Mytilus edulis: one gene and its partners. The protein of the gene in region 1 interacts with the protein of each later gene in a pairwise test. Links are inferred from orthologs where the notes say so. Each region holds a gene or a part of one and is shown on either strand. Other genes may lie near its edges.

The links.
Region 2: the proteins of cytoplasmic protein NCK2-like (region 1) and insulin-like peptide receptor interact in a two-hybrid assay, tested with the Drosophila melanogaster proteins (2 studies listed by BioGRID). The link is inferred for Mytilus edulis from reciprocal best matches to the Drosophila melanogaster genes dock and InR.
Region 3: the proteins of cytoplasmic protein NCK2-like (region 1) and serine/threonine-protein kinase PAK 2-like interact in a two-hybrid assay, tested with the Drosophila melanogaster proteins (3 studies listed by BioGRID). The link is inferred for Mytilus edulis from reciprocal best matches to the Drosophila melanogaster genes dock and Pak.
Region 4: the proteins of cytoplasmic protein NCK2-like (region 1) and actin nucleation-promoting factor WASL-like interact in a two-hybrid assay, tested with the Drosophila melanogaster proteins (2 studies listed by BioGRID). The link is inferred for Mytilus edulis from reciprocal best matches to the Drosophila melanogaster genes dock and WASp.

Annotation. Positions count from the first base shown.
Region 1 is NC_092346.1:20,317,524-20,325,324, forward strand, and holds the start of cytoplasmic protein NCK2-like, read left to right. Parts: upstream 1-4,792; 5' UTR 4,793-5,122; intron 5,123-7,801. UniProt on the Drosophila melanogaster protein: Adapter protein that links cell surface receptor tyrosine phosphorylation to downstream signaling pathways and effectors, many of which are involved in regulation of the actin cytoskeleton.
Region 2 is NC_092347.1:4,564,549-4,571,942, reverse strand, and holds the start of insulin-like peptide receptor, read right to left. Parts: upstream 3,022-7,394; 5' UTR 2,335-3,021; coding exon 2,208-2,334; intron 1-2,207. UniProt on the Drosophila melanogaster protein: Has a ligand-stimulated tyrosine-protein kinase activity. Binds 3 insulin-like peptide ligands.
Region 3 is NC_092346.1:105,566,993-105,574,120, reverse strand, and holds the start of serine/threonine-protein kinase PAK 2-like, read left to right. Parts: upstream 1-4,122; 5' UTR 4,123-4,277; intron 4,278-7,128.
Region 4 is NC_092344.1:35,959,029-35,966,723, reverse strand, and holds the start of actin nucleation-promoting factor WASL-like, read left to right. Parts: upstream 1-4,684; 5' UTR 4,685-4,727; coding exon 4,728-4,823; intron 4,824-7,695.

The DNA of each region.
Region 1 (7,801 bases):
TCGATCTTGATATCTATATCATTAACGAAAAGCTTAATACTAAAATTTATGATAAAAGAGATGATTTTTCATTTCCTATCGTTAATTATCCATTTTTAGATGGTGACGTTCCTTTGTCACCATCTTACGGTGTTTATATATCTCAACGTGTACGATTCCCGCGTGTATGTAACAACGTTTTAGATTTTAAAGAGAGATGTATTACTGAAAAATTATTACACCAGGGTTTTCAATATCACAAACTAGTCAAAACATTTACTAAAAATTTACATCATCGGTACAAGGACATCATTCGAAAATATAGCTCAACATGCAGACTTCTTATACGTTCAGGTATTTCACATCCAATCTTTTATGGAAATATTCGTTATAAAGCACAAAAATGTCAGTATCCACCTCAGAAGGTAACAAAACCTTTAAATAGACTTATTAAGAAGGGATATAGATACGATACTGTTGTCAGGTCATTAAAAATTGCATATTTTGGCGTTAATATTGATTCACTTGTAGGGTCTTTGCATTGGAACTAAACACATTTATTTAAAAACCAGTTGTTGGTATGTCACGGGCTATGTTCTTCTCATATATGTTATGACTAGAACACACCCGCGAAATCGAGGGCATTCAGAGCTTGGTTGAAAGTATGTAAAGTAGACAGTGGTTGTCGTTTGTTTATGTGTTACATATTTGTTTTTCGTTCATTGTTTTGTACATAAATAAGGTTGCTATTCAATTAAACTGATGGAAAGATTATGATTTCATCATATGAATATCAGGCACAATCCTTCCCGTTAGGGGTTTAGTATCATACCATCATAACATATATGAGAAGAACATAACGTGTGCATACTGTTTACATTGAAATATGTGGTAACTTTTCATTCGAGGTAGGGGCAGTTAAGAAAATTAGTGTTAGTTTAAACTCTGAGAAATTCAGGGCATATATACGTTGAAAATATGCCGCACAGCTCGGACTTCTCTTGAACTGAATTTTAATGTGCGTATTGTTATGCGTTTACTTTTCTACATTGGCTAGAGATTTGAGATCAGAGGGAGGGTTGAGATCTCATAAATATGTTTAACCACGCCGCATTTTTGCGCCTGTCCCAAGTCAGGAGCCTTTGACCCTTGTTAGTCTTGTATTATTTTTAAATTTAGTTTCTTGTGTATATGGAGTTTAGTATGGCGTTCATTGTCACTGAAATTTTAACTAGTATATATATTTGTTTAGGGGCCATCTGAAATACTCCTCAGGCTGCGAGAATTTTTCGCTGCATTGAAGACCTGTTAGTGACCTTCTGCTGTTGTCTGTTCTATGGTCGGGTTGTTGTCTCTTTGACATATTCCCCATTTCCATTCTCAATTTTATGTATATAACAATAATATTTAGTTTGCTTTTAATTTACTGATAGCAAAATCAATATTAATACCAATAAAACCAATCTTATTACAGTGTTGAATTGGTAACCTTTTAGAATAATAAAATAATTTTATTTAAAGGATCGTCTGACTTTCGATAAGTTTTACAGGGTCGTTTCTAAATTTTCGGGCACGGTAAACAGCATCTCTGTAAAAATGAGGATGTGCTATCCTGTTTGAAATATTTTTTCTACAGGAACGACCAAACTTCAAAACCAAATCTTTATATCTACGGAAGACTTTAGTAAAAGTTTTAAGTAATTTGTGGTAATGTAATCCCTGACTTAATAATTTACCAGTAATACAAACATTACGTTCGTGAAAACGTCACAACAGACTTGGGTATATAGATTTGGTTGTGAAATATAAACACCGAAAGATGGTGCCAAAGGAACAATACCATCCAAAAAGCGAAAATTAACAATGGGGAACGAAAAATCAAGACAGGAATATCACTGAAAAGTTATTGTTTTTAATAACAAGATATATTTTATAACACATCCAAATTCCAAATATATATATATATATATATAACTCGTCTAAACATCAACCCAACAATGTTAGATCTGTAAATTTGCTTTCGCAAATATATATATATATATATGTAAAGTCTCTGAATGATTGTATAATAAAAACTATAACACAAATTCCCATACGTTTCGGCCATTACGGCCTTCTTCATTGGAATAAATTACAACATTGAAACAACAATTACATCGCTTGGATACATTACGTTATAATAACTTCTATGACGTTCATTTGCCGCGTTTTTCGCTTTTTTAATATAAATATATTTATTATCGTTCATACATTGTGTTGAGTCCTTCAGGTTCTAAAGTTTTTAATTTCTTCATCCAAAAGGCTTCTTTAGTTTTTCTGTAAACTTCTGTCCCAAATACTCTCTCTATGGCGGTAACTTTCAAATTTGTCATTGAATGATTGTTCTGAATGAAATGGTTGGCTACCGGATCTTCTGTTTTTTGTGTGCGTATTTTTGAAAAGTTCAATAGCATTCGTTGATATAGTGTATCACCCGTTTGTCCTACATATATAACTTTTTCACATTTTGTACAATTAATCGCATAAATCGCTTCCAAATGTACATTCAATTCATAGAAAAAATCTTAAAATTCTCCATCAATCTGAAAGACTAAAGAAAATATTCCCCGATCCGCCTATCGTGGCATTTAAACGCGATAACAACATAAAAGACATCTTAGTGCACAAAAAGCATAATTTACTATTTTATAAACAAACTAATGGATGTGGACCATGTGGTAAAAATTGTGCATTATGCTCACATATAAATGAAACCAAGGTATTTTGTGACAACACCGGCAAAGAATATACCATTCAGGGACAAATAAATTGTAAAACCGTAGGCGTGATATATGCGAAAAACGCGGCAAATGAACGTCATAGAAGTTATTATAACGTAATGTATCCAAGCGATGTAATTGTTGTTTCAATGTTGTAATTTATTCCAATGAAGAAGGCCGTAATGGCCGAAACGTATGGGAATTTGTGTTATAGTTTTTATTATATATATATATATATATATACAACTCGTCTAAACATCAACCCAACAATGTTAGATCTGTAAATTTGCTTTCGCAAATTTCTGGTTCTTCCCTCGCCGGGATTCGAACCCATGCTACTGTGATATCGTGACACCAAATCGCCAGCCGTCCCGCTAGACCACACGACCACCTGGGCTATATATCACAAATTAGCAAAGAATGAAAAAAGTCTACTATTTTGCGTGTGTAATCCCATACCACCATAGAGCTGCATGCCTCAATCTGCAAGCTGATCTTGATGCAGCTTCAAAATGAGAAGTGGACTGACTGATGGCCATCTACCCGACAGGTGTAATGCTCTCTCTGTCACAATCAACCTTTAAAAATTAATTACACTCTTCACAATCATATTTTAGAAACTGTTACATCTGCTAAGTACTAAGGCATGATCATCACGCCTAAATACTAAGCAGAGCCGCATCACATTACAATCATACCTAAAATGGGACAAACATATAGATGACAATACCTCGTAAACTTGAAAACATCAAATCAAATCATTAACAGCCAGAGATACCAAGATGGTAGTCCCAAACTCGAGTACTCTTGCTCTGTTTGGGACCCCCACACTTCAGAATCTATCTCGAAGCTAGATGGTCCAAAGGAGAGCTTCTCTGTATGCCTGCAACGTGCATCATACCACTAGCAGTGTATCAAACATGCTCAATAATACACTCAACTGATCACAATTTACTCAACCAACGCAGATTATGTTCACGCCTGGTTATGATGTACAAGATCACACATCATCTTGTTGCTATACTATCTAGCACAGTTCTCATACCATCAGACTCAAGAACTAGAAAACATCATTCTCACACCTCCAGACATATTTAAACATCTAAAGACTCGTACAGATTTTCATTTTTCCCATAAACAATTAGTCAATAACGCAATGGAATCTATTATTACCAACTACAGTTGTTAATACATTTAAAACAGTCGACTCTTTCATAGAGCAGCTTACATATGTTGTTCTCTGCCCGGGCCACTCTATTTTGAATAGCTTCTTCTCCTGTAAATAATTTTAATCACTACGTCTGTTCTCTGCTGCAACATTATTATCAATATTTTTTGTATATAACTAAAATATTAACTTTTTTAAAACAAATAGGCCACGTATGCATCAGTTATTAATCATCTTCATTCAGATGGAAGACTGGAAAACAACTTAAGAAGAGGAAGGGGGCAAGTTCACCCTAGTAGAATGGCCGAATCGATTGTAGACGTGTCACGGAATAGCATTTCCTTCATTATATAATATCCAAAGGGAAAAAATGTTCTGGAATATTATTTCCACAGGAATAAATATTACAGTAAATGTTCCCAACGGAATAAATGGTATAGAATATTTGTTCCAACAGGAATAGATATTATGACAATGTTTATAACAAAGTTTCCATTGGAACTTCTGTTAGGTGGAACAAATATACGTTGACAGACGAACCGCCAGCCGTTTTTGGTTCTTGACGAACTGCCACTTTGTTGGATGTGAACGAACTGGTAGCGTGGACGAAACGACCTGTAGGCGAACTTGTAGTGTGGCCGAAACGTCTTTTTTTTTTAAAGATAACACAACATCAAGGCCGAGAGGTATCTATGAGGGTCCACACTTTTCAATTTCGTTATGTTATGGATCAAAATTGGTATCTAGCTTTTTCTCATCATATTCCTTGCAACCTTGCAGCAACATTTATTTCTGCTACCACATCTTTTCGTAATAAAATGCAAATAGAGGAACACCCTTTTCAAACAGCTTCCCGCGATATTTTTGCTCTCGCGCATGAATCTTTAAATGGGTGGGACTATTTTACTCTAATCAACATGGCTGACCAAAACACCGACTTTACTTGTCAAAAGAATACCGCAGAAATGAAGTTTGTTTGATCTATATAAGATAATATTGGAGTGACTATTGAACAGAGGGTATAGAAAACTTAATATCTGAAAGTAAAGTTGCTAATAATACTGACACAGAAGGACTTTTCGCGATACTTCCTACCGTTGTTCTGTGGGTGACTCATCTCCGAGATATCGGTCATGGAATAATAAATGAAGTGAGATAATGAAGGAAAACCAAAAACAATGCCAACTGTCAAAGTCTTAAAAATATGAGTAATTAGGTAAGATATTAAGATGGTTAGTTAGCAGACATGTTTTATATATACAGTTTTAACCGATTATGACAGTTTACAATGAATTTCAAGTAGAAAACATTGGTTTTATGTTCTCAAAAAGCCAGTCATCTGTTGATTGTTGACTCAACTTCTTACATTGTAGATGTTATCAGGTCATTTCATACCCATAGATTGGGTGTTAACCTAAAAGATGGTGTATGTATACATGTTAAAAACTATTAATAGCTTGATGTAGTAAATTATGTACAATGACATGTTTCATACATGTTTGTACTTTCTATTAATTGGAACTGTCCCACCACCACACTTAGAGCAATAGGTTACTTTGTAAGAGGTTAAACACCAACACAGGACCACACAATGTCAATGTACAAACTAATCAACCATTTATAGTTTGATCTGATACATCATTGCTAGCCAAGGGTTACAATCCAGTCCCCTCGTCTCTACCCTTTTTGGCGGATCTTAACCCTTTGCGAGCAAAAATGTTTCTGATAAAAATTCCATGCACTTATACAATGTAGTTATATGTTTAAATTCAAAGAAATTGGAATTGCTGATTTACCTCTGCATCCTTCCTAGACATCTGTAAGATCATGCAACATTTATCTCGGCTGACAGCAACCACCAGATCCAAATACATACAATGTAATTTTATATTTGTACAAGTCATAGATTCTTGAAACTTGGCTCTAAGCTTCAATGATCTGATAATGCTATCTTGACTACTGTGTGACATGTTTTGCAGTTCTTTCAATGTTTTACTTCCTGTTCGCCAAAAACTTTAACATTGATAAAAGAGGGACGAAAGATACCAGAGGGACAGTCAAACTCATAAATCAACAATAAACTGACAACGCCATGGCTAAAAATGAAAAGGACAAACAGACAAACAATAGTACACAGAACACAACATAGAAAACTAAAGATTAAACAACATGAACCCCACCAAAAACTAGGGGTGATCTCAGATGCTCCGGAAGGGTAAGGAGATCCTGCTCCACATGATAACATACAATGTACATCTACATCGTACATCATACATGGAAATGGTACAAATGTAATGTCCCAATTATTGTCTCTTCAAGGATACTCATGGCTACAATATTTCAAGAATCCCAAATCTAATACAAATGCTGATCAAAGTAAAAAAGGACCTTTTAACTAAAAATAAAGTAGTGCCTAAATGGTATTATACTACAATTTGTATATTGAGCATTGACATGATTGCAGTCAGTAATCATTATAATTCTGAAGGGTAAGATACCTGAAGAGGAAGAAGAAGAATAATTTACCAACCTTTCACTGTTTATGAATAATAATGGTAACAGATTATTATTTGGGGTTTCTAATGAATCATTCATGATAAGGATAATTAAACGAATCACAATAAAATTTTAACCAATTTGACGCTGAAGGGAAAGGGCCTTCCTTCCCTCTTGTATTGTCTTTATTGTCATTTACCAGGTGTTCATTTAAGCTTTTGCTTTAGTCATGTTAGTTTTTTTGTTTTTTTATCTGGGTAATTTTATTTCCAAAGTCTGTGTTGTTTTTCTCAGTTACAGTCTTTTTTTTATACATTTGAAGTTGCATTGGTGATGTTACACATGGTAGGAGGACAGTAATTCATTGATCCCCTATTGCATGATGTATCAACAGATTTTATTAGAGATATAACATAAAAGTGTGTTACTAGACTATTGTACCAGGAATTACTGGCCCTTCTGTTGTTAGTATCTATACATGTAGCAATACATGCAGTAGGTAAGGTTTTAATATCTGTTCAAGGATATCCATGGATGAAAATTTATTTTTAGCTACATAACATGAAAATGTTTTTGTATTCTGTAGAAAATTTTAAAACACACACATATATTGAAAACTGAGGGTAGAAGCTAAGAAATTTAAAGAATCATATTAAATGACTATTTTATCCTCGAGATTTTATCATAGAAAAAGCACTTTTATTCTTTTCTTTTTCTTGAAGTTGTTTAAAGGTAATACATGTAAAACTTCATTTGTTACAATACAAGCAACATCTTAACCAATTATTGAACTTGATATAGCGGCAGCCTGGAAGGACATGAAATGTTGGTTATAAAAAAAGTATCCTATTTTGAAATTCTTGAAAAATGATGTGATCATGGACAAATGATGGATATTTTGTATTAAATTTTTTTACTGTTTCTCAGCTTACAATGGCATGAATGGCTTAAACCACTGTTCTTGATAGAAAATAGTCTTTTAATTTGAAATTTTCTTAGAATGTGTCTTATCTTCGGTTTTATTTGAAAAAGAGCCTCAAGGAAAATGTCTAACCTTTAGTGAAGAAATTAACAGGTCTTGTTTAATTTTAGATATTATTTTGCAATATACATGTATGTGTAACCTATACAGTAGACATGTATATGTAATCAACTAATAAGTTCAAATATCATGATCAGTTTGCTGTCTTGTCCAAATCATAATGCATGGAGATAAAAAGAAATGGTAAACAATTTTACAGATTTTTATTGGACTTAATTAACTAATAAGATTAGCGAATTATTATTTAAAAATATATTTTTATAACTTTTAGTGTTCTTTTACCAATATCTTACAATAGTTGAAGGTATCAATTTTATATAGCTTGCAGACTTTTGTGCTAGTAGTTTGTACAAATCT
Region 2 (7,394 bases), on another chromosome or scaffold:
CACCACCAAAAATCTGTATTTTGTGGTAATAAGCATTGTGTATAAGTTTAATAACATTTGGTTAAGGCAAATTAAGGAAAGAGAACGAAAACAAAAAATTCAGCATTTTTTTTATTCGAGAACGGTACAGTACATGTATGTGACGCCACCAAAATTCAAACTTGATCTGTGTTTTGTGGTAACAAGCTTTTGAATAAGTTTATTAACATTTGGTTGAAGCAAACTAAAGTTAGAGAATGGAAACCAACTTAGGGATGTACATGTACATGTATGTCATGTATGTACGGATGTACAAATATGTTACGTACAAATGTATGTCCGTACGTACAGACGGACGAGGGTAATCTTTATGCCCAATCCGCTATGGCATTTGGCATTAAACATAAAATGACTATTCAAACTGTCTCATTTTCCTCCACTTATAATAAGCATGTTAAGGAGATTTTGAATATCAGAAAGACGTTCACTTTTTTCAATTTCTGTTTCAATTTTTCTCTATTTGATATTGAATGCAATTTTTGTTTAGCTAACAATCGAAACAACCATACTGTGTCAGTGTGAAATTTTTGTCTGAGTTGTGCCACTTTGTCTGATAAACATCACTTCAAACAACTATAGTATAACATAAATGTGCACAGTCACACTATACATGTAAGTATACATGCTACCGTAAACAGAATTGACAAAAAAAGTGAAAAAGCACAAATCTAAAATCCTTATATAAGCATTTCAATTAAAAAATGTCATTAGGTTTCAAGTATTAATGCATTGTGAAAACAAATATTTCATCAACGAAATTCCAGTCAGATATTCTCTTGAATATCCTTTTTATATTAGATACAATTTTTTTCAAGTCTGATAAAGTTTTTTCGTAGGCAAGACATTTTAACTGAGGAACTATACAGGCGTCAAAAGGCATCATTATGGAGGAAAGGGATAATTATAAGGTAACATAGGAACACTCTTAAAATTTACATCAAACACACACATATCACTAAAATAGTAAGTGTTTTCTGCTCTATAGTCGGACTGTTGTCTCTTCGACATATTCCCCATTCCCATTCTCAAATTAAGATACATGTACATTTTCTTTCTATTTACATTTAAATGTAAATGGGTAGGACATACAATGTATAAGAAACTAAGGTTTGCAAGATTTAGATTCACCAAATGTTGTTTTTCTCACTTCAAATTTTTAGCTCCAGCTAATGAAATATTTAAATAAGATCATATACCTTTGTACATGACCCATCTATTGTCATTATCAACACAGAGAATAAGAAAGACATTTGTAAGCACCTGTCTTAAGTCATGCGCCTGTTGTTCAGTGATTCTTGTTTGTTGGTCTGGACAGTCATGACAGTGGTGAATAAATGAGGGGGAGGTAGGAGGGGTCCTGATCCTGAAATTCTGGGCTTAAAAACACGAAATCCTGAAGTCCCGAATTTAAATAAATTTAAATCCTGACATCCCGAAATTTGAAAAAGAATTTCCAAATCCTGAAAGGTTCAATTCCAAAATTCCGAGCTTAAAAACACCCGATCCTGAATAAAGGTCCTATCCCCCTCATAAATGTTTCTTGTGTCTTGTTTTTTTATAAATAGAGAATCACACACACATAAGACCAATGGTTTTCCTGCAGATTATATTGTTTTACACTTGTTATTATGGGGCCTTATTAGCTTTCTGTTTGGTATGAGCCAAGGCGGTGTCCAATGCCGTACTTTGACCTATAATCATGATAATTCACTGTAATTGTAAACATTTTATACATTGTGACTTGGATGGAGAATTGTGTCATTGGCACTCATACCACATCTTCTTATATATTTATATCATGCTACAGGCTTATTTTGCTTTGCCCACCCGTCTACAGTGGTAGTGGGCACCAGGTGGGCAAAATTTCTAGCTTGTCCACTGCCCACCCATACTTACAAAATGTAGGAGTGGGCAAGCAATTTCTTTTGTTGAATCAAAAGACTTGCAAGTAAAATCAATTGAAAAAAAAGCAGATAAACATATGTTATCAAAAATTTTACAAAAAAGAGATTATATTTATACTACATATTTACTATAGCGAGTAAAAATAAAGTCAAAGAACAAATATTAATTAAAGTACAAAAATGAAGGTCTAAGTCTTAGTAAACATTATTATGTTCATTCTTAAAATGATTTTAGTGATAAATAAACTGTTTAAGAAAACTTACTAGTTCCTTCTCGTTCAGTTGCTGGTGGAGAGTTGAAACCTTCACTCAAACGCTTGCCTGTCACAAATGACATCAATACACAACAAACGAAAATAATAATACATGATGAAGCCATTGAAAATCTCATCTTAGTCTATCAAATGTTAAAAATAAACGTTTATACAATATCACAGAATTTGGTAATGCAAATATCTAGTAAGTACACACTGTTGTTTTTGTTGATCGTCATTTTATCAATGAATCTGGATGAATGATTTCACACATGGTGATGAAGGCAGCAACCTGGGCCATGAGAAATCGAAATGTAAATGTGCATGTTGCGATGAAAATAAAGACATGAATCCAATACAATATTGATGATTTGGTTTTACATTTTGATGAAATTCTCGTTTTGAATGTTTCATAATTTGTTCAGTACAACTATCCATGAAATAGGCCTTGAACTTCTGTATTGTTTGTTGAAAAACCATGCAAAACAAGCCCGGAAATGTCCATCATTTTCACAGTCCACAGTAAAACCGAGCATCCGAATTAATCTCACATGTATTGCAGTATCACCTTGACCGATTTTTACATCACAAAAAAAGAATTCCAATGTGTATTTGATAAATTAATACTTATTTTTTACCTCCATTTCAATGTACATAGCGGAAAACAAGACGTAAACAACCTCGTTAGATGATTGGTCAATTAGTCATTCAGAGCTACAACCATGATCAATGCTGTAGTTTCGTATCCAAAACGATCAAGGTCACCACCTAAAGTCTATTTTGTAGTATTGTAGACTACCGCTTGTGGTCATTTTGTCTAATTTCTAAAATATTGCCAATGACGTCAAAGATATATTGTGGAATTTAACACCGGTTTCCTTCAGTTTTTTACACAGAATTTACTAAAATTTATAATTTCATAATTTTTAAGTATTTGAAAACCCTGCAATTAAAGTAGATAAAGACTATAAATTGCAGAAAAAATGTGTTTGGTATTTGTTCAAGTCAATAGGGGCAATATAATGAACAGAAAAAATAAAGGCAGTCATGGTTTTGTCAAATGTGATGCTTCTATGAGATATTTATAAATTTCATTAAAATGCAGACACGATTTTTTAGTGATTTGTTTTATTCCGAAAAAAGGTAAATTACAACAATATTAAATCAAACATTGATTGGGAATTTTACACAAACAAATATGTTCAGCAATTATTTATCAAATGGGATAATAATGCGATTATGCATACTATTTAACATTTTTAAGTTAATTTTATACCCCTCTTTGTGATCGTATTAAAAACTTCCAAAATATTTAATATTTCAGCTGCCTGCATCCTGCATGGGTCCAATGTAAATCACGATCAATTTTAGTCGGAAGGTTTTTTTCTCTCTATAAAACGCAATCCTACAAGTTTGTATCTAACTGAGCATTTTTAAATTTTATTGCTCTGCAAACTTTATCTGTAAATGCATCTGGCTGTTTTGGGAGCATTTCCTTGTTAAAAAAAATGTCTACTACACGTATTAATTGTCTACTGTAACTCCTCGACTGTGGCATGATTGCTATATGAGACAATATCTGAAAAAGTCTAGTTTTTGGCAATAAGAATAAACCAAAAAAAATTCTTTAGACCCGGTATTTTAATAGCACAAATCGAAGAACACACATTGGGGATCTAGGAACTGTTGTCTGTAATTCAAATAATTGTTTATTAAGGAAACAATGGCAATTTAAAAAATGGTACAAAAAAAATACAGTTCTTTCCTGTTACCAAAGTGAATCAATTTTTAAAAGTTTCTAATGGGAATAAGGAATAAGTTTAAGACACTATTTGTGGTTTACTAGTATATCCTGCAATAGTTTATCAAATGCCAATTATTGATTTTAGCATTTGCAATACAAAAGGTTTAGAAATATACTTAAATATAGTCAGATATGTCGGTAACATGAAAGAATCTTGAGTAACAGGACAACGGTAACAGGACAGAGTTGGTAACAGAAAGGATTTTTCTGCTTTATTTTAAAGTTTAAGAAAAATAAATCATTTTAGATTGGTCACAATTGGAAGATAACAGCAAACAATGTCATTTATCCTTTGAAACTGTATTTGCAAGATGAAAAATCTGCCTAGGTAATGAAAAATTCTAAAATAAATTCCTTTCTGTTACTATCTACTATACTAGAATTGCACAATGTTCTCTGCTGTTATCAAAAGCAAAAAACCTATTTTTTTATTCAATATACTGTATATTATTTTGAAATTTATTTGATATGGTGGTGATAACTTACATTAAATGAAATGGTTGGCATATAGTAGATTAACTGTTCGATTCTTCAGTGAAATTGTCTTGAACATCCTTCCTGTTACTGATGATGGTTATGCTGTTACTTTTGATCAGGTAACATGACAGAACGTAACAGAAAGGAATTACGCGATAGTTTTTGTCCTTTTTATCACATTAAATGTAAGTGTATTTCCTGTGACATATAACTTTTAAAAAGATGATATAAAAACACACTTAATGTTGTGGTGCACACTTAAAAATATTCTCAGAAAGTGTAAAAAAAGGCTATAACAGGATAGAACACCAATAAGTATTTTTCTATAAATTCTTACCTTGGATGGGCTTGAATTTTCAAACCTGGCCGCCTTTCCAACTATTTCTTTGTACTAATACATTCAGGGAATGATGCTCTTCACAATACATAATGGGAAAATAACTCTTGGTCTTGTAAACGTTTCCACAGGTAAAAAAAACCCAGTGGTAACAGGAGGGAAATCACCCCTGGGGACAATTTTTTTTTCTCTTAAAATTGGCAAAATTTTATTACATGCTATAGTTATAATATAAAAAGACAAATTAGGGGCAAGTTGATTACATAATATATCATATATGTGAGAATCGGACGCCTTTTTAATTAATTTGGATATTATTTGAATGATTTAGTTTTCAAAAAAACACAGGGGACAACATGATTTTAGGGGGGGGTTGAACATTTGAATCACAATATTTTATTGGAAGAAATATAAGAATGAGTGTTTAATTGGCAGGCCATGGTGCATTATAGAATTTAGTTTATACTAAAACTTAAAATTTTCGAAAAAGATGGTTGAATAAAAAAATAATTGCTGGTGAAGTGAGGGACATGGAAATTAGACTTTTTCAGATATTGTCTCATATGCATTGATATTGACAAAAATATATATGACATTGAAGATGAATGATTGTAGGTTGGCAGAGTGGGATCTTCATTACCGTAATTTCCTTATGAAGTTGTCATTCGATTCTCTTTTTTGCGTTTTCTTGACACAATAATTCAAATATCTTAATTTATGAAGGTGTGTAATTTTTATATTATTTTTATTTTAACGGTAGATTGTATAACTAAAATGAGTAAAATATATATAACTGAAATTGTATAGCGGTTTTTTTTAACAAATTTTTATTTTAATAAATATTTTTTCATAAAAAAATAAATAAAAGGATTTCAAAGAATTTAAGTAGTTGAAAGAATTTCATTATTTTTATCAAAATGATAAATTATGCTTTATCTAAAACACTCATTGTTGCGTATCTAAAACACTCCTTGTAGCTGTATCTCAATATACAAATACTACATACTGTTAAAAAAAAACACTATTAAATTAGGGGATAAACATATATAAACGTTATAAGGTAGCAGAAAGTATACCCCATTTCGTTTATTTAAGTTTTCTGCTCGCAAAAAATCAGCCTATTATACAGAGTGGCGAAGGAGTCAACTGAAATGTGAGAGGAGGGCTAACTTCTATTAGTGAAAAGCAACAAAAAAAAGGAAAAGAATTTTCCGTCCACTCACCTTGAGTTTCTTTTTTCTATTTTTCGGTCATTTTCACATGAAATCATAGCTAAGTAGCTTTCAACTAACATCGACCAAACAAACAAATAGAGTAAATTACTTTCATTTGGAAAAAAAAAACACAAGTTGTTAATAAATTTAGCCCACACAAAAAATAAACTAGGATATATGATATTTTTTCATAGTTTGTATTTTATGTCACACTTACATATAGGCGAGTGACTTATTTCAAAAAGACGCTTAGTTAACGACTTTAATGCACCCACCTAACACACGGCTGTATTATATATCATTCGAAAGCTGTTAATCTGTACTTTCTGTTTTACCCGGTCGTAAAAAAATCGTACGGTGCAATTTTTGTTAAATCAAGGTCAAAGGTCATGAAAAAAATTCCAATTTTTGCGATTACTAAATAAAACGCCATTTTCTAATTCTTGTACCATAAAATTTTCCAGAAGATCATATGAACTTTATGGAACATGATACATAATTTCCAAATCAAACAAAAAATAAGAGATTCGATGCGCAAAATTTCCCAAAAATTGAAATTTATCACAAATCCTAAAAAAAATTAAAAATTATTCAAAAAGCAAAATATAATTGAGGTTAAAATATGTTTTTTACGAAGTCAAACTGTTTTACTTTTTGTAATCTTGTTTAAATGCAAACATTACTTTGCGACTAAATCGTAGGCAACATTGAAATAAGTAACCTAGTTTAGAAACACTTGGTTGTCTAAAGCGGAATGTAAACGAACTAAATAATAAAAATGCGGCTGCTTCTTATTTAGTTTAAAATCGTGTTATAGTAAGTCATATTAAATGTATTTAGAAGTTTAATCGCTTTAATTATTTGATGATAAAATATGCTTTGAGTATTTTCTACATAAGCTTTAAAAATACAAATGCATGTCATTGTGTATGTAAAACACTATAAACAGTTGTGAAATAACAAAATGAAAAAGTTAAATACCCTTCCTGACCTCATAAGATCATTCGCTGTTTTAGGAGTGTTCGTTTTCATGGTATGCCGTGTTTTTTGGACTGTTGTTCATCTCTTGGACTTTAATCTTATTTTGTTCATGGTGATTGTCCCTTTGGTATTAATTTATTTTAAACACATTAACTTGCAGTAATGAAAATCAGCCAAAAAATCACCTCAAAGTAAAGTGAAGTAGATTAACGCAATAAGACAAATATCCGCGAAAATAACTGAATTTGCTCACGATGATATATATATAGAACCAAATCGTTATCATGATACATTTAGCTACACTGATCTACAATTTTAAAACCTTTTACTACTTGAATAGTGACGAAATATATCAAAGGGACATCAAACTCATGATTAAAAACG
Region 3 (7,128 bases), about 85 Mb from region 1:
TGTTCAGTGATAATGAACGCCGTACTTAACTCCAAATTATACATAAGAAACTAAAATTAAAAATAATACAAGACTAACAAAGGCCAGAGGCTCCTGATTTGGGACAGGCGCAAAAATGCGGCGGGGTTAAACATGTTTATGAGATCTCAACCCCCCCTCCCCTATACCTCTAGCCAATGTAGAAAAGTAAACGCATAAAAATACGCACATTAAAATTCTGTTCAAGAGAGGTCCGTGTCTGATGTCAGAAGATGTAACAAAAGAAAATAATCAAAATTACAATAATACATAAATAACAACAGACTACTAGCAGTTAACTGACATGCCAGCTCGAAACTTCAATTAAACTGATAGAAAGATTATGTCATATGAATATCAGGCACAACCTCTCCCGTTAGGGGTATAGTATCATACCATCATAACATATATGAGAACATAACCCGTGTCATGCCAACAACTGGTTTTTAAATAAATGTGTTTAGTTCCGATGCAAAGACCCTATAAGCGAATCAATATTAACGCCAAAATATCCAATCTTTAATGACCTGACAACAGTATCGTAACTATATCCCTTCTTAATAAGTCTATGTAAAGGTTTTGTTAGCTTCTGAGGTGAATACTGATATTTTTGTGCTTTAGAAAGAATATTACCATAAAAAAATTGGATGTGAAATACCTGAACGTATATACATGTTGAGATATATTTACGAATGATGTCCTTGTACCGATGGTAAAATTGCCTTTCCGTTATATATCGTTTAAAAAGGTAAAATAAAAAAATTATTGAACTCCGAGGAAAATTCAAAACGAAAAACCAAAAATATTCCTACATGGAAAACGGTCTATATCTTTTTTCTAGTCCTGGTTTAAATCAACGTTTAACATATTCTGAATTTTGTCTTTTGCATTGATGGTTGAACTATGAGGTTTTTGTCAGAAGGAAGACAATATCACTATAGTAAATATAATGAATTAAATGCCAATATAGTTTTAAAAGAAGTGCACCTGTAGCCCCCCTAAATTTGTCACATTATTTTATTTTATTTTTAAAATAGGAGTTCTGATTTCTGACTCTTTTATATGTTTTAAAATTGTTTGATTTCGATCCTAGTTAATCATTGTCCTCAACATCCGCTTTAGAATCATTCTAAAATGTCATAAATATCTTTAACGTTATAGATATGTGTAGCTTTGTCATGGTTTTGTGTGATCTTTCTAATGGCTGTGATGACGGGGCTCACATTTGATTTGCTCACAGCGACAGGTTATAATATGACTGTGGTGGCAGAGTTCACATCTGATGTGCTAACAGCGACAGGTTAAAATATGGCTGTGGTGTCAGGGTTCACAGCGACAGGTTATAGTATGGCTGTGGTGGCAGGGTCACAGCGACAGGTTATAATATGGCTGTGGTGGCAGTGTTCACAGTGACAGGTTATAATATGGCTATGGTGGCAGCGTTCACAGCGACAGGTTATAATATGGCTGTGGTGGCAGTGTTCACAGCGACAGGTTATAATATGGCTATGGTGGCAGCGTTCACAGCGACAGACTATAATATGGCTGTGATGGCAGGGTTCACATTTGATGTGCTAACAGCGACAGGTTATAATAGTGCTGTGGTGGCAGCGTTCACAGCGACAGGTTATAATATGGCTGTGGTGGCAGTGTTCACAGCGACAGGTTATAATATGGCTATGGTGGCAGCGTTCACAGCGACAGACTATAATATGGCTGTGATGGCAGGGTTCACATTTGATGTGCTAACAGCGACAGGTTATAATAGTGCTGTGGTGGCAGCGTTCACAGCGACAGGTTATAATATGGCTGTGGTGGCAGTGTTCACAGCGACAGGTTATAATATGGCTATTGTGGCAGCGTTCACAGCGACAGACTATAATATGGCTGTGATGGCAGGGTTCACATTTGATGTGCTAACAGCGACAGGTTATAATAGTGCTGTGGTGGCAGCGTTCACAGCGACAGGTTATAATATGGCTGTGGTTGCAGTGTTCACAGCGACAGGTTATAATATGGCTATGGTGGCAGCGTTCACAGCGACAGACTATAATATGGCTGTGATGGCAGGGTTCACATTTGATGTGCTAACAGCGACAGGTTATAATAGTGCTGTGGTGGCAGGGTTCTAATATCTGATATGTTCACAGCGAGAGGTTTTAATATGGCTGTGGTGGCAGAGTTCACAGCGACAGGTTATAATAGTGCTGTGGTGGCAGGGTTCTCAAATGATATGTTCACAGCGAGAGGTTTTAATATGGCTGTGATGGCAGTGTTCGCAGTGACAGGTTATAATATGGCTGTGGTGGCAGCGTTCACAGCGACAGGTTAGAATATGGATGTGGTGGCAGGGTTCACAGCGGCAGATGATGATCAATCAATCAAATAGTATTTTGATAGACAACTTCAAGTGAATCCCAACCGCTAGCCACCAAATATGTAACGAGTAACCAGGCGTTTATATCTTAAACGAACGTTCCAGTAAATACTTGGATTCAAGTTGTCCACAAACAATACGTCAAATTGACAATACCAAAAACTATAACTATCTATGCTATGCACAATGAACTAAAATATACACACTGACTCTTTACCGATATAAAGTAACAACGGACAATTATATATATACAAATATAATACAATACAGCCTGTCCCCAAGATGGGACGGTCTGTCACATAAAGACAGTATGGCTGGTACAGTCTGTCACTACAAGACAGTGCGGACTGGTACAGCCTGCCTTGTCAATCCTATCAACTTGTACGTTTACTTTGTACCCGGTACAAAGTGACCTTTGAATATTATTAATGCTTATAAGCACTTAATATAACCAACGTACGCTCTGTTGACTTATGACGGCTCATCGACAGCCAACCGACAGCCTCGAGTGCCGTTGTTCATTCTCTTATATACCCGTGGTCGAATTCACTACTTTTTGGATAGGGGTGTTCTCTAAATGTTCTTCATACGGGACATAGGGAGCCCCTTGTGATCACTCCTATAATCTTCGACAAGGCACTAACTTTCCCGCCAAACGTCTAAATCTGCCTAAGGGAGCTACCATTTGATTTTTATGGGGGGGGGGGGGGGGGGGTGTGGCTAGGATGAAATTTGAAAAAAATAGGCAGGACAGGAGTTTTGAGTGAAAAAAAAAAAAGGCAGGATGAGACACTTTGCAAAAAAAAAAAAGGCAGGATGACAATTTAGGTAAAAAAAAGTAAGGATAAACAAATAAAAAAAAAGGCAGGACCGAATAGAGTGACAAATAAAAAGCCAGGACAGAGATTAGCCCCCCCCCCCCCCCCCCCCCCCCCCCCCCCCCCCATAAAAATCAAATGGTAGCTCCCTAACTCTTTTTCTACAGTAAACCATGCATTTCTACAATAAGATCCTACTTATTAGTAACCTCAACGACCAGTAAACATAACAGAACCACAAAAACGTTTTTGATATACATAAACGATTTTCAAGAATACCTCAATCACAGCACATTACGACTCTTTGCTGATTATAGCATCATATAGCAATGAAATAACATGTCAACAAGATTGCACAAAAGACCCCTCACAAAAGTACAAGCGGGTCTAAATGTGGCTGTGAGATGGGAGGAAGATTGGTTTACGACCTTATCACACACTGAGAAAAAAGAAACCATTCAAACGTTAAAGCATCCTGAATAACCATATTTTAATACTACTAGCATCAACAAAATATCTTGGTGTAACTATAATACAATGGAACATGTTTCCACTAATTGTAGTATCATGTCAAACAATTGAAACCTTATAACAATCCCTAATGTAAATGATTGAAATGAAGTACTAAAAAATTCAGATAGATGTTATCATGATAGAGCTACATAAATTTCTTTAGTTTAACGCAAGTCATGTACACTTAAAATTCTAGACAGGAAGAACCATAAAATCATTACATTAGGGATTATTATAAAACATATTAATTTACATTGCGTCTAGCATCTAGACATTTAATCATATAGTTCCCTAAAACCTATACCAATTTCCATAACCAAAAAATCTGTGTCTTGTGATAGAAGTAGTAGTACAAGTGTACAAAGAGGAGTAACTCTTACTTAGCTTGAAATCTCGAACAGGTGCTTGTTTCCTACGGGACTTTGCGTGATCTGGTACCGAACCACGAAAAGGAAATGTCAACTTAAAAAACTTGTTACTATTTTCCGGACTACAGTAATAAAGTGGTTCAGCTGGTACATTGCCAGTGTTAGTCGTCATTTGAAGCTCAGGTAATCATACAATTAACTTAATCCAATCACACCTGTGATTAAATCCTGTCATTTACACAGGCATCCCTTTTGTTTATCAATGAATGTAAAAAGATAACCCTTGTCCAAATAGTTATGATGTCTTAGAAGACTAATTTAATGTTTGCCATGGTGCTGTCTTACGGAATGTTATTTAGATATCAATTCTGAATTTGAAAAACAACCAAAATTCCAACTAGCAAATCGGAGCAAAAAATTAATTATTTGTATAAAGAAACAATATCTGATTGGAATACCAGACAATCTGGTGTGTGCCAAGACAATTGAGAGCTTTAAGACCTCTGTTGCTCTCACATTGTTGGACTAACTTACTAGTGTCTCTCTCCTGTTGCAATTGATGCCATAAACTGGCCCTGCAACTTACAAATGACTTGCATGTTCAGATTCAGATGTGTAGAACATAAAGTCATAAAATTTAAAGTTGGAGAAATGGAGAACCCATAAACATGATGAAACCAATTTGAAAAGGTTAAGTGTGTAGAAGGACAGAATTCTATAATTTATCAAATTCTATTTTTTTCTTGTAAGACCATTTGGTACGTCATATTAATTTGTAAAATTCATGCATTTTCTATGTAAATTGTGAATCAATATCATTCTAAATAGCATGAGAATCACAGGCACTCGTCTCCAGAAAAAAATAAAATTCTGAGACGAGTACCTGTGATGAAAAACCCATTATATAAAATGTAAGGATGTATATAAGCTCCATAGAGCTTATATTTTCTGTCTACTAATTCTGTATCTGTACGAGTATGTTGTGGATACCATTTACTTGCTTTTATACAAAGGTACAGACTACAGAGAGATAGTGTGCTGTGGATTTATTGATGGTGTGTGAGAGCAGTCTTGAAGCTCAGGCCATAAAAAAGATTGTTTCTTTGCCCTAACCCTACCCCCTATCCAAAAAATAGCTGCCTACTCAAAATCTTTTATTGTCCTAATGTGAAAAAGTTTTTTTATGCCCCACCTACTATAGTAGAGGGGCATTATGTTTTCTGGTCTGTGCCTCCGTTCGTTTGTCCGTCCGTCTGTGCGTCCGTTCTCGCTTTAGGTTAAAGTTTTTGGTCAAGGTAGTTTTTGAAGAAGTTGAAGTCCAATCAACTTGAAACTTAGTTCACATGTTCCACATGATATGATCTTTCTAATTTTTAATTTCCAAATTAAAGTTTTGACCCCCAATTTCACCGGTCCCCCTGAACATAGAAAATGATAGTGTGAGTGGGGCAATCGTGTACTATTGACACATTCTTGTTTTTAATCAGAAAGGCATGGAGACTAAAAAACATTTCGCATTTTTTGTCGAAAAAAAAAAAGAAAATGCCTACCTTCTTCACACTGTTTCAAACCAAATATTTTTAGTGTGGCCTCAATGTGTGCATTGCAGTGTCAGCAATGTGGTTCCACTCAATCGCTGTTTTTACAAGAAATGAATTTGAATATTGTGGTGTTTTTCAGTTGAAAATTTCAAAACACTTGTATTATATTATATATATATATATATTTTTTTTTTTTAGTGTTGTTTTATAACTTGCTTTTTCCACAATATTTGTTGTCTGATAATTTTCAAATTTCTTGACAATTATTTTTCTTCTAAGATGTGAGTCAGTTAGATATTTGTCTTTTTCTATAGCAGGAACCTGTCAACCACTTTGAACAGAAATATTAGCTTCTGACTTTAGCGTTTTGTCTGTCATTCTGTAGATCTTGTAATTCCAGGTTGGCAAGAATGAGACCCGCCCATCATCTCTGGTCTTCAGTTATAAATCTTGTATGCTGTTGTATTCTTTCAAACTTGTTGATTTTCTTAGATTCACAGGGTCCCATACTATTGCTGCATACTCCATTGTTGACCTGACCAGTGAGATATATGCTATCTTGTATGCATTTTCTTGTATTCTTGTGGGCAATATTTCAAATTCTTCTCAGGAAGCCTAAGGTTGAGTTTGCCTTCTTCACTAAATTGGAAAAATGGGTAGTCCATGTTACATGTAAGTCCTCTGAAATTTGTAGGCCCATGTATCATGTGTATGGGTTGATGTTGGACTGAAGAACAAGGTTGGCATAAAAGTGGTCAATACTAGAAGCAAATATATAAGATGTGCTTAACTTTATCTAATTAAAATCAAAAAATTGTGAATAAATGGCATTACAGATACAAAGAATTGTGAGTTATTGGCCTTACAGATTCCTGAGAGAAACAAAGAATTGTGAGTTATTGGCCTTACAGATTTCTGAGAGAAACAAAGAATTGTGAGTTATTGGCCTTACAGATTCCTGAGAGAAACAAAGAATTGTGAGTTATTGGCCTGACAGATTCCTGAGAGAAACAAAGAATTGTGAGTTATTGGCCTTACAGATTTCTGAGAGAATCAAAGAATTGTGAGTTATTGGCTTTACAGATTTCTGAGGGAAACAAAGAATTGTGAGTTATTGGCCTGACAGATTCCTGAGAGAAACAAAGAATTGTGAGTTATTGGCCTTACAGATTCCTGAGAGAAACAAAGAATTGTGAGTTATTGGCCTTACAGATTTCTGAGAGAAACAAAGAATTGAGAGTTATCGGCCTTACAGATTTCTGAGAGAAACAAAGAATTATGAATTATTGTCCTTACAGATTCCTGAGAGAAACAAAGAATTGTGAGTTACTTGCCTTACAGATTCCTGACAGAAACAAAGAATTGTGAGTTATTGGCCTTATAGATTTCTGAGAGAAACAAAGAATTGTGAGTTATCTGCCTTACAGATTTATGAGAGAAACAAAGAATTATGAATTATTGTCCTTACAGATAGCTGAGAGAAACAAAGAATT
Region 4 (7,695 bases), on another chromosome or scaffold:
TTAAGAGTTATTGTATGGACTACAAACACAATACAACCCTCTTAAAACCCAGGTTATATCAGGTGTTAAAAGTGAACATACACTGCTTGTATATGATTTATAGTTCATAACAGTCTCATTCTGTACCTCTGTCAAATTAGCCATACTTGGTATAGAATAAAGATTATTTGTACACAATGATTTTCAATGTAAAGTTTCACATAGGAAAATAACTTTGTATAATTTTCATATGTCTGTTTCCTGTAAACTAGTAACGATTACCAGTATAGTTGTATAGTTCTGAGCATTTTGTCAAACATATAAACTTGTAATAATATTCCCTGAACATTTTGGTACAGGATTGTGGGTAAAACTCTTAAAATATAAATATTTCTGTAACAATTGTACATGTAATAACAATTAGCCACTTCATGATATCCATTACCAAAAATGTTGTATAGTCTGATTATAACCACAGAATTTACTTTGCTTTTCAGATACTAGTGAAGAAATAAAGAAACAAGAGTAGACACCATTTGACCAACTGTGCTTACAATACTTGTGCAATAGTTGTAATTGATGTCCATACTACATTGTAGTGTCATACATGTATGATAATACATTACAGCATCCATAGAATTATCATCTTGGTCGTCAATGCCTCTCATTTCTTAATAAATTGCATTTGTTATTTTGGTTGTATGATTTTCTAAACAGACTTTTTTGTTATTAATGGAGTAGAATGTTGAAAAAACAAATGACAAAGATCATTGCTGAATGAAGTACAAGTATTTTTTTAAAGTTTAAATAGACAATTGGTATGGTGTTTGAGTGATTTTAAATAGATATTTCTTATTTGTTTCCAGTACATTAATAACCACTTTATCACACAATCAGTGGCAGATCCAGAAATTTTCATAAGTTGGGGCCCACTGACTGCCTAAGAGGGGGTCCGGCCCACTCCAGTCATGCTTCAGTGATTTCCTATATAATCAACCAAATTTCTTTCCAAAAAAGGGGAAGCCAGGGGCCCCTGGCCCCCTCTAAATCCGCCTCTGACAATACCATGAAAATAAATTAGCTGTAGCTATTTGTTGTATTTCGTTTTACATTGTTTATTTCTGACATAAAACCCGCTTAAAAAAATACAATTTGAAACTAGAAACACTTATCCTAAAAATTGCATTTTAATATTAAAACCAAAGAGAATGAAGAAAGAACACTATCGAGTGTACCTTAATATGATTCTGAAAAGTAATCATTACATTGAATGCTTATAATTACAATGAGATATGGTATGATTGCCACTGAGATTTATATCCACCAGAGTTCAAATATTGTGCATTCAATTTGTAGGTCACCTTTCAACCTTCAACAATGAGCAAAATCCATAGCCTATAGTAAGCTTTAAAATGCTCTAACATGGCAAAAAACATTGTTAATCTAACTGATATTTCTAAATTACTGAAAATCAATTGTTATGATGGAGAAAATAAGTGGCATTACAGTTTATCATGTTTATGTCATGGACACAAAGACCATCTAGGAGTTTTGCAAATGCCTACTTTGGACAGTCAAACGACAAGTAGGAATAAAAAAATCTACTTTAATGTTGAATATATTAAATTGATAATAGATATGGGGAATGTGTCAAAGAGACAATTAAGTAGAAGAAAACAGCCAAAGGACACCAATGCTTCTTATCACAGAAAAGAAAATCCAGCTCCCTCAGGCAGGCTTTAGCTGAACTCTAAAACAAAATGTGTACTAGTTCAGTGAAAATAGATGTCATACAAAACTTCAAAACATAAATGAACTAAGATTGAAAGTCCTACAAGGCTATTTAACATGCATAAAAATAAAAAGATGAGTATAAAAAAGATGTGATATAATTTCCAATGAAAAACTATAGGTTACTGTACAGCCTTCAACAATGAGCAAAACCCATACAACGTAATACAAATATACAGTTGTATAAAGATGAAGGAAAAACAAACGACAACCACTGAATTAGAGGCTGTTGCCTTGGGACAGGCACATATATACATACATACAGAATGTGGTTGGGTTAAACATGTTAGCGGTATCCCAACCCGCCCCCCATACCTAGGACAGTGGTGTAACAGTACAACATAAGAACGAACTATAAAAAAATCAGTTGAAAAAGGCTAGTCATCAGATGGATACAATTAGAAATACTACATAGAGTGGACGTGGCCGGGTACTTGTATATCCCAACAACAAAGGTACATTTGAGTATGATTGCCAATGAGACAACTCAATCAAAGTTCAAATCAAGTGGATGTTATCAATTATAGGCAACTGTACAGTCTTCAACAATGAGTAAAACCCATATATAGTCTGCTGTTAAAGGCCCAGACATAAATTATATGAACAATTCAAATGAGAAACTGACGGCCTAATTTATTACAAAACAAAAAATATCGAAAATTAAAAATTACATGCATGAACCAACAACAACCACTGAACTAAAGCTTAAGGCATAACACTGTACAAGGGTTAAATAATACTATTAATTTGAAAGCATGCCTTTTATGGCTTTATTTGTAAATACCCAGCTATCTATCTAATTGCCAACTGCAGAAATTGTAATATTTCATAAAAGGCTATCAGGAACTATGATACTGAAAATATATGGTTTTTGGTAGGGTTTGTGTTGCTTTCTTTAGTTTTTGTTGTTGCGTTGTGTCCTTCTTTATGACTATAAATACTAGGAAAAAGAAATAACCTAGTAAACTGAATTAGTAAGTCTATCAAGCCTCTAATCCTTGTTGTTAGGGTATATTAAGAAAATAAAATTGCAATGAATAACAATACAGTAGAAAGTAGGTCAACAAACACTATCTCGATGTGGCTATATATGTATGTAGATTTATGTTAAATTGAAGGGCATGTAAATAAAAATAATCAGATTTTCCTGTTCTTTTAGTTAAAACCATTCACAGCCAAAAATATCTGGTGAAATTCTGTTGATTGATGTGCAACTCAGTATATTATATAAAGGCATACGACTACAATTCACACATATGCACAGTACATAAAATCATGAGTTACTTAATCCTGCAAAAATCCATAGAAGAATATTGACAGCAATCGATCAATGCAATACTGCTTTGCTCTACAAAATAAAACAAATTTATTATACATTAAATATTGAATCACCTGAGTAAAAAATTGTCTATAATAATAGTCTGAGGTCTTACTCAATAAAATAAGACCTTGTACAGCTGTTGCATACTTGCAGTGTTTTATTCATATTATAAACCATTACCAGGGTAACAAAGAAATACAATATTAAAGACTTTAAATCAAAGAGGACTGACAGAAGACCAAATAAGGTACACAAGCTCCATACAAATTTAAAAAAGAATGTTTAGAGAGGGAAGGCATCACAGAAAAAAACATGCCTAGTCCTATAATTTTTGCATCTACATGTAAGCAAAAATATAAAATAGTCTTTCAAAGTGTCAAAATTATTTGGACTCTTGGACATGTTTTGAACTTACGATACCAGATAGATGTAAATAGTTCTTTCAATGCCAATGTGAAACATTTCTTCAAATAATATAAATATATGCTCATTTGACATAAATTTTGTACTAAAAAGTGGCTTTTATAAAAAAACAAAAACAAAATTAATCACTTCAAATGTATTACTCATATAAGGGAGCTACCATTTGATTTTTATGGGGGGGCTAGGATGAAATTTGAAAAAAATAGGCAGGACAGGAGTTTTGAGTAAAAAAAATAGGCAGGATGAGACATTTGCAAAAAAAAAAAAGTCAGGACGGCAATTTAGGTAAAAAAAAGTCAGGATAAACTAAAAAAAAAAAGACAGGACCGAACAGAGTGAAAAATAAAAAGGCAGGACAGATATTACAGCTAAAAAAAATTCAGGACAAAATTTTTCATCCTAGCCCCCCCCCCCCTTCCCATAAAAATCAAATGGTAGCTCCCTAAGGGATAGTCATGCAATTGAGGGGTTGTTCCTAACCTGTTGGAGGCAATGTCTTTTTAATACAATTATTAAATTAAAATTATTTTGAAACTCAGATCACAGGGGTTTGTTTCAAACCCTGTGCTCAGATGATCTCAGATGTTCAACTGTTCAATAAATTTATGTTGCGCGACTTTACTGTTTTTGCTTTTAAACCTATCAACTATAACCTACAATTCACCTACTGCCTTTTGACAACATATTAATTACACCATGACCCTTTAACACGTATATGCTAGCTGCATGTTGATGTTCTGTGGTTGAAGTCGATAAAAAAACAAGCACTCATGGAGGCTGCCATTTTGGATGTTGTGGGTCAAACTATCATTTTGGATACTATCGTTACTTTTCATAGGGTCGACGAATAATCCAAAATGTTCCGAGTCTCTGACAGAAATCTGTCATAAGAATTTTTACCATTGCGAAAACCCAGACGTTTGATTACAAATTCAAGCGTCTGGGTAATCGAGACTATTTGTTGTCGTGTGTCTGTGTCATTCGGAAATGACAATGGTTCCGAATGGAACTCCCGCGCTTAAATTCTTAAAAATTAGTTATAAACTAAAGAAAGTTGTTACATTTTTTCATTATTACATAAACACAAATATATTTTATATTCTTAATTTCACTATGATTCAAATATATCCATAGATTTGATAAATTTGTTTTTGTATAGAGGCTATCTATTTCAGTTACTCACAACCCGGAAGTTTCAAAGAAAATTTACAAAATGTCTATGAAGAAAAAAAACACGAATGTGTCATCTATTCTGTTAAATGACAATGAAAACGAAGCACTTTTCAACATCCTCGGTAGAGGTTGTGTGGTAAGAATAAGCAAACATTGAATTACAGGAGATACTCCCTTTTGCTTTAATTCTAAATCTAACCGTTTCTATGTAACATTATGTCAATTTATGATCACCTGTTTATTTATAGTACATCATCATACTAGCTTTAACATTTTTATTTGCCGTATAACATGGGTAAAGTTTAATTGGTTTCCGTTGTTTTACTGTAAACTAATGACAACTTTGCTTCAACAGCAAACAGATTGACCATGTTGAATTGCAAAAAGGGGAACAACTCTTTATTACTAAGTGAATATTTTGAACTCAGAGATAGTGCATGTACTTCATTTGCCACAGCTGCTTAACCCAGATTAGCCCGTTTGGTGCTTCCTTTATAGACACAGTCGCTTCATTTGCTGTAAAATCAGCTGGCGCACATATTCATACACTTCTCTCAGCAGTTTTAACACACCAGTAAGAAAGATGTGGTGTAGTGGTTAGTGCATCGGACTACTAACACAAAGGTTCCTGGTTCGATTTCAGTTTCGGGATGAAAATTTCAGGGACTGAATTTTCAGCTCTCTCTTGACATCATTTGAGAGTATGGTCTTGAGGAAACGATGATAGTCTGTAGGAAGGGGACGATAAATGGCTGACCCATGTTAAGAGAGAGCCATACATGTATCTCTTGCACGTTAAAGACATCGTTGTAGATTTCGAAAAAGAGCAGGCTAATGCCGCTACAAGGCAGCCCTTGCACCCGCTAAGTGGAAAGGGATTAATATAAGTTGTAAAACTTGTTTTCCAATCCACTATAAATATGTTTAACCTAACACACCAGCAAGCAATCAGCCTGTCATAAAAGTACATGTATGATGGGAAGCGTAATTTAGGATAAATTGTCGGAATTTGAAAGGTGAAGATTGAAACAATTTCATTATATGATATACTGCAATGGTTAAATGTGACGATAATAAATTGTAAAGCTACAAATGTACATTTTATTTTCAAATTTTTCAAAATCATCTCAGAGAAATGTTTTTATGATGAATAAGGCCTCGAAAAAAGATTGCATATAAAAAATACATATTTATTATCAACATATTCATTTTTTATATTCTCCAACTTGGAAACCAAAAAGTATAAATTTGAACTTCTGTCGCCATCTTTAAATCAGCCTGTTCAACTCCGTTTACTTCTCAGCCATTTGACCCAGTCACATGATAAGGCTAACTGGGCATATCCCCGAACTAGAACAAATGAAGCAGTCACAGATAGTACAATCTGTGAATATCCCCGAACTAGAACAAATGAAGCAGTCACAGATAGTACAATCTGTGAATATCCCCGAACTAGAACAAATGAAGCAGTCACAGATAGTACAAACTGTGGATAATATGTGGAGCTCCTGATATTCATTTCAGTAGGCATAGGTTTTAAAAGAAAAAAAAGGTAAAGTTCAGAAATGTCAACAAAAAAAATTATTGAGAAAAATCCCATATTTTTCCTTAACATTTTTGGCTACTTTTAAGCAAGCTACATTTGCATGGGATTAGCCTGTGTGCAGCTGAATCCAGGTTCGTTCGCCCTAAAACAAGTTCCACTTCTTTCACTTTTGCACTCTACACATTTGCACCCTTTTAATCGGTTTTGTGTTTAATAATTTGTAATTGAGTTTTGGTTTATATTGTATTGTTATAAAAAATATAATGTTACACAACACATTGATTTTCTGAAAACATTTTTTGTGTGGAATAAATCTTAAATCGTGTTTTGGTTTGAGAGTTTCTATATGTATATATATTTTTTTCCATTCAATGTTCAAAATAAAGTGACATTTTGACAACGGTTTTTTAGGATGAATAAATCTTGATCATGTTTTGGTTAGTGTATTATTGCTATACATATTTTTTTCATTGTTTCTTAATAAAGTGCCTTTTTCATGTTTCTTTTTCATGTCATGCATGAAGTCTTTTTAAAAAATAAATTTGTTGAAAAAATTTTAAATACACTTTTTGGTGCGAATGGACCTATTGGGGGACCCTGTGAGGTGATGACATGTATGGTGTGAATGTGAATTGGGAACAAACTGGCCTGATACAGTTCCAGCTTGGATTTGCCAACCAGAAAAAGGGCATCTGATGAGACATGAAATGATAACATGAAAAGGACATTTAACGAGTTAAATTATATTTTATAATAATTATTCTGCTATTTAAAAAAGTATTTAGAGAACCTGAAAACATGCTCAAAACCCAAAATAACATTTTATGTGGTCAAATATAGTCATTTTCTATTTAAAACAAAGAAAGACAATAACAATGGGATACATGTCAATTTTACTTTAATTCAACTTCAGAAATATGATTTTAATGACATGTACATGTACATGAACATAAGTTCCTTGTCCATATTACAATACATAACGGAGGACTTTCAAAACTTTTATTTAGATAGGGTTATTTCCCTTTTTCTTAATTGCATCAGCCATATTGCAGTGTCTTTTTACATGTACCACAGAATACCACAGAACTACAAAAATAAACAAAAGCTGAAATTTCTAGATTTTAAAGTCAGTATTAAGCATTTTTTTAAAGTTTTGAAATATTGAAATTTCAAAAGTAAAATTTCATGTAAAAGTCGAAATTTCCACTGTAAATTAATAAAAAGTTCAATGAAAATCAATTTTCATATATCATGTATATGTCTCTGATAAAATTCTGAAGAACCACATCAAATTCCAGTAAAGAATTGTAAACATATGAAATATGTATGTTAAAACTAACATCCACCAACACTATTCTTTGAATGGTAAATATTGCAGTATGCTACATTTGTACCTACATGTAGCCCAAAATAGCCAGGTGCAACTCTCTTTCTTTTTATATTCTTAAATCTTAGTCCTGAC